2 linked regions of the Ovis aries genome follow. The protein of the gene in region 1 interacts with the protein of each later gene in a pairwise test. Links are inferred from orthologs where the notes say so. Each region holds a gene or a part of one and is shown on either strand. Other genes may lie near its edges.

What was found. The genes of interacting proteins can lie anywhere in the genome.
Region 2: the proteins of CBX5 (region 1) and INCENP interact in binary tests that used the Homo sapiens proteins (3 or more experiments, as listed by UniProt). The link is inferred for Ovis aries from reciprocal best matches to the Homo sapiens genes CBX5 and INCENP.

Annotation. Positions count from the first base shown.
Region 1 is NC_056056.1:132,289,475-132,293,030, forward strand, and holds part of CBX5 (chromobox protein homolog 5), read left to right. Parts: intron 1-1,284; coding exon 1,285-1,471; intron 1,472-3,556. UniProt on the Homo sapiens protein: Component of heterochromatin that recognizes and binds histone H3 tails methylated at 'Lys-9' (H3K9me), leading to epigenetic repression. In contrast, it is excluded from chromatin when 'Tyr-41' of histone H3 is phosphorylated (H3Y41ph).
Region 2 is NC_056074.1:37,182,150-37,184,800, reverse strand, and holds part of INCENP (inner centromere protein), read right to left. Parts: intron 1,810-2,651; coding exon 1,731-1,809; intron 1,546-1,730; coding exon 1,441-1,545; intron 1-1,440. UniProt on the Homo sapiens protein: Component of the chromosomal passenger complex (CPC), a complex that acts as a key regulator of mitosis.

The DNA of each region.
Region 1 (3,556 bases):
GTTTTTTAATGAAGTATCTAAAATAAATAGTGCATAAATGTAAAAAATATTTCCTAAGTCAGTGAAGGGATTATAGAAACTGTGTCTGTGATATGTGTACAGATATATCTTAATGTAGCTAGTTCTTAATGAAAGAACCTCTGCCACTGGCTAGGAGTGAAGAGGATGCCTGGTCTGGTTTTTCCCAAAGAAGATAAATTTCTTGCTTTTATTACATAACCTGCTCTTGGTATTAGTGATTTGCACTTCTAAAATCCATGCTAGAAATACAGAGAACAAGTTTGTGAATGCAAACTTTATTTTCCTCATAGAAGGACTCCCCTTGATCCGAGTTTAATTAGACACAGTTATTTAACTTGAATTATTTTTGCTTATTAATATAGAAATGCATTTTGATTACCTAGTGACAGTAGACCTGAATCCAGAGCAATGAATGAATGGGCTCCAAATCCCAGTTTTGAGTCTTTTCCTTTTTATGGTTCGCTTATATTCTAATGATTTAACCCCTTACTGCCTTTTTTTCTAATTAACTACTGAAGTCTTCCATCAATTTGCTGGCATTTCTTGGAAATATAAGTAACATAATTAAGACAGTGTAAACTGGAATGCATTTAGAATTAGATTGTCCTCTCTCCAGGATTTGCAAAGATGATGTATGAAATCACATTTGCCACTTACAAAGCAGAACTTATATTTGAGTGTTTAACAGGTTTATTGAGCCATAGTTTACATACCATAAAATTCATTTACTGAAAGTACACAATTCAGTGATTTGTGGTAAATTTTTAGAGCTGTGCCGCCTTCAGCATAGTCCAGTTTCAGAACATTTCCGTAACCTCCCCAAATTCCCTTGGACATTTTTGTATTTAATTGCAAGCCCCAGCCACAAGGAACGACTGATCAGCACCTGTTTATTTTAGCTTAGCACAGTCTAGAAGTGCTTCCGTGTTGTAGCATATATTAGTATTACGTCCCTTTTTTGTTGCTGAATAGTATTTCATTGTATGGATATACCATGTTATGTTTATCTGTTCGCCTATTGGCAGGCATTTGAATTGTTTTCTGTCTTTGACTCCTAAAATGCTGCTATAGTTGTGTGCAAGTTTTTTTGTGTGTGTGTGTCTCAATATATTGGATAGATTCTAGAATCAAATTGATTATCTCCTTTAAGCATAGGAATTCTATTCCCTTTTTGCCTATTTGTCTTCTGTAAAGTAAGGTATTGGATTTCCTCCTACCCCAAAACTTCTTCATTTCTTTCCTTTTTTCTCCATTCTTGCCCAGGGAGCACAATACTTGGGAACCTGAGAAAAACTTGGATTGCCCTGAGCTAATTTCTGAGTTTATGAAAAAGTATAAGAAGATGAAGGAGGGTGAAAATAACAAACCCAGGGAGAAATCAGAAAGTAACAAGAGGAAATCCAATTTCTCAAACAGTGCTGATGATATTAAGTCCAAAAAAAAGAGAGAGGTAAGCTTCATTTCTCCTCTCCTTCCCCCCCACCCCCCACTCTTCTGCTTCCTGTGCTTCCTCCTCGCTTCACCCAAAAAAGAGGGGCACTGTTTTGGTTGTTTTTATTCTAGGGATGGCCTATACGGTAAATTGTTGAACACAGGAGCTCCCCGGGGAGTTTTGTTGATCCACTACAGCGCCCCCTCCTGGCTGAGTAAGAAATGTACTATGTGTCCACTGAATTGTGTCAAGGTGGCAAAATTAAATCCCTGTAAAACATTCAGCCACTCAGTGCCTTTTTTGTGAATAGGTGGCTGAGTTGTCTTATGGAGAGTCTTCAGTGAATTTTTTAGGGATAGAAAGAAGCTTTAAAATATCTACTACTTCACTTTTTTCTTTTATTCCAAAGAGAGCACTTAACTTTAACCCTTTATATTCTTTCTTTTTTAACCAGGTGAAAACACATAACATACAACTAACCATTTTATTTTTTTTTTTAATTATTTATTTATGGCCACACCAACACATGTAGGATCTTAATTCCCTGACCAGACTCAAACCCATGCCCCTGCATGGGAAGTGCGTAGTCTTCACCACTGGACTGTCAGGGAAGTCCCCAGTTAACCATCTTAAAGTGAACAGCTCAGTGGCATGTGTAGTCTCTCTTGATCCTATTGTATTTTTGCATTCTTCAAATAAATTACTTTTCATCTTCCTTATGAATATTTTTATTGTTCAGTTTTTGAAAATGTGTTTATGAAACTTTGGTTTGATTCAGTTATTTTAATCCTTCTGATATATAGCTGTTAAGTAACTAGCCATAAGCACTGTTCCTGTCTTTTTTTTTTCTTGTCTATATCTTTTCCATGTGTGCACATGTGTCTCCATCACCCCCCACAGCTTCCATTCCTTTCATTAATTTCAAGGTTGTGAAGTCTTTTGTGGTGAAGGATATATCATACCCTTAAAGTTTAATAAAATAAAAGTGTAAGTCTGCTTCTGAATCTTCTAGCATCCCTGCCATAAGCATCCATATTTATCTTCATTCTCCTTGGATACCCGTCTTGCTAGAGCATTAGTTCTCAGCCCTGGCTGCATATTAGACTCATGGCAAGGGGGGCAGGCGGGTGTTTCAAAAGCCTCCAGTATTGCTGTGGAAAAAGAAGCCTCCGGTGCCCAAGATGCACTCCAGACCAATAAAATTCAAATTTCTGTGGGTTGGACCTATGCGTTAGTATTTTCTAGAGACTTACACAGGTGATTCCTGGTCTCCAGAGGAGAGAAAATGGGAGAACAACTTTCCAAAAAGAATTGAAATAAGAATGAAAGATTGGAGGCTGTCAGTGAAAGTGGACGCTAGTATTTTGTTTGTTTCCCTGATTAATTTTATTTTTTGCAATCTTATTTTTTAAAACTCCCCTGTTCTGGTGAGGTGTGTATATCATTATGATATAGCATACTAGTAGATAATTTGAAAATGCCTTCCCTTCTCTAAGGAGCTAAGACTTGGGTCTGTCTTTCTGTTTTACTTTTTTATTAGTCCTTTGTATTCTGGTTCTTGTCATTTGATGCATTTTCCAGCTAAGTAAAGAGACCAAGAAACAACACAGCATGACTTCTGTAGCCGTTTTTGACATTCAGTGTGTATTTCCTCAACCTAACGTTTATGTCCTTTTAAAAAGGAGCAGTCTGGGGGTGGGGGGGGGGGAGGAGCAATCTGACTTTGAGACACTGGCCAGTGCAGAGTTTGGTTCCTAGGCCAGGATGCTGGCCTTTTGATGCTGCTGACCTTGAAAACCACCCCCACACACACATGTCCCTTACATTGTAATGTTCATCTGGGGCCCCTGGCAGCATTCTCAGCAGTGCTGATGGCTGTCATGTAGGCAGCTGGTAAGATAGGTGATTGTATATTTTAAAGGTGCAGGGGGGGATTTCGTTTCTTTCTTTAGACCACTGCAGAGGAAATTTGTTAGTCGGCATTATGCCTGATTTAAGATTACTGCCTGTGTGATGATTTTAGCATTTTCCTCGCCTCGGCTCCTTTTCAGCTGCTTGAACATTTTTCTTCTCTTCCCTCCCTATGTGGCAAACTGTTTTCAG
Region 2 (2,651 bases), on another chromosome or scaffold:
AGGTGAACATGGCTACTGGCTGCCCGCCCTGCATGCTGGCCTCTCCTGACGCTGAGAAGCGCCGGGCTCTGGCCACCTCCCCTCATTTCACAGGGAAAAGAAAGAAAAACGTTCAGGGGTTGCTTTTTGATTGAAAAAAAAAAAAATCATGCCACGTACATGACTCTTATGTCTTCCTTTTTCATGTAAAAGCATGTTTCAAATGTTCTTCCAGGTCAGTGTGTATGTGTGTATGTCCTTTGAATGGCTGCAGGGCACTGCACCGGGAACTCCATGATTTGTAATTTAACCACCTGGTTCAGCGACCTTCCAAGTTTTCAACATCCTAAAGTAGATTGCAACGAAAACCCTTCCTCACACTACATCCATCTGTAACAGCATTAATAGCCTAAATGCTAGTCGGGGAGGGCTGATTAAAGAAATTCTGGTACCAAGTGGCACACAGCCACCAGAAGCAATTAATAACTGGTGAAACAGTTGTGTACAACACATTAAAGAAGCAAAAAAAAAAAAGGAGGGGGAAAAAAAATCAAGCTGCTAAACGGTATGTGTTCTGGACTGAACGTTTGTATTCTTCCCCCACATTCCTATGTTAAATCCTAATCCCCAGTGTGATGGTATCTGGAGGTGGGACCTTTGGGAGGTACAGCCCTCCTCAGTGGGATCAGTTCCCTTAGAAAAGACCCCAGAGAGCTCCCTCTCCCCTCCAGCCATGTGAGGACACAGCGAGAAAACGGCCATCTGTGAGCCAGAGGAGGGCCCTCACCTGCCAGCGCCTTGACCCTGGCCTTCCCAGCATGTCTGCTGTTTCAGCCACACAGTCTAGGGTCATTTGTTGTAGCAGCACGAACAGACTGAGACGGAATGTACAGTCTGGGCCCATTTAAAAAACTATATATATGTGTGTGTGTGAGAAAAAGTGTGTACAGAATATTTATGAATGTTTCAATATAGAAGGAAATACACCAGACTTAGACTTACCCTTTGAGGGCACCTTTCTTTTGCTCTGTATTCTTTTATAAAGCTCAGTTTCTTTTGTTTTTAAACTACTTTCTACTTTCAGAATAAAGAACAATACATATATCAAAAATAGTTGTTGGGGGGAAACACTTGGGCTGACTGTATCCTTCCTCTTTCTCATGAAGGGAAGTGAATGTTGCTCAGTCGTGTTGGATTCTTTGTGACCTCATGGACTGTATGGTCCATGGAATTCTCCAGGCAAGAATACTGGAGTGGGTAGCCTTTCCCTTCTCCAGGGGATCTTCCCAACCCAGGGATCAAACCCAGGTCTCCCACATTACAGGTGGATTCTTTACCAGCTGAGCCACCAGGGAAGCCCCCCTTTCTCACAGTCCTAATATACTCAGCCTGTGCCTCCAGCTCCTGGGAAGGGAATCATCAGAGCCAGGGGGCCTCTCCACCCTGATGCCCGGGCCTCACCTGCACGTCCACGGTCACGTTCAGACTATTGCTGGCACCCGCGGCCTCCTTGGCCTTCTTCTGCTCTTCCTGCAGCCGCTGCTCAGCCAGGCGCTGCTGCTCTTCCTGGGGCCCGGAGACAGCGGGAGGCAGGATGTCACAGACCAGGGGAGTGCGCTCCCCCACTCTGCGCCAACCCCAGCGCAGCCCGGCGGGCACAGCAGCTCCCGCCCGAACCGCTGGGGCCAGGCCGCCCCAGCCCAGAGCTCAGTGCAGAGCCCTTGAGAGCCACACGCCCGGCCCCCCGTTACCTTCCTCCTCTTTTCCTCCAGCTCCCGTTGCAGCCGCTCCTTCTGTAATCTCAAGGCTTTCTCTCGCTCCTGCAGCTCCCTGAGGACCGAGCCAGAGCCAGTCAGAGCAGGAAACCGAGCCCCTGTTCCGTCCCTGCCAGGGAAGCCAGGCGCCCCAGCCCACTGGCGGGGTGGGCACACCAGCTGAGGGCCAGCAGCTGTGCTGGGGGCTGGCGTGCACAGCCGTGTCGGGGGTGCTGGGCTTTGAGGCCACCAAGCTGGGCCCCCCTCCTCCACAACTCTGCACCTGGCTCTTATCTGCCGTACGATGGGAACCCAGCCCCTTTCAACCAGAGTTGACAGGACAGTGAAATGAGGTCTTTTGAGTCACTGCCACTCGTCCTGACCGCAGGCCCACACCCAGGCCCAGGCCTGATGTGAAGCTGGGCGGGGCTGCTCACAAGCCACCTCCGTGTACTAGCTTGGATGACCCTGAACAAGTCACGGAACCTCTCTGAACCTGTGTGCCCCTCTGGAGGTGGAGCTGCTGGTACACCGGCCACAGGTTTAAACAGAAACGGGTGGAAGGCGTGTAGCTGCCAATTATTATGACCACCAAACCATCGTCCGTCCCCTCGAAGCCCCCGGCGCTGCCCAGCACACATCCGATTCTAAAAGCACACCAGCTGCCACCCTCTGCTCCCTTCCCAGGCTCCTGTCTCTGGCTCTGCCCACAGGTCAAAGGACACCTTTGTGCCACTCCTCAAGCACAGGAGACAGCCCCGATGCAGTGAGCCCCCTGGCGGTGGACCCCCCACGCAGACGGACGCCTGGTGTTTCCCAGGAGGTGGAGGCAGGGCCTGGGCCAAGGTCTGCCGTGTGTCTACACTCGCACAGGCAGAGTTCTCTATGTCTACACACAGGCACAGGGCCCCATACAGC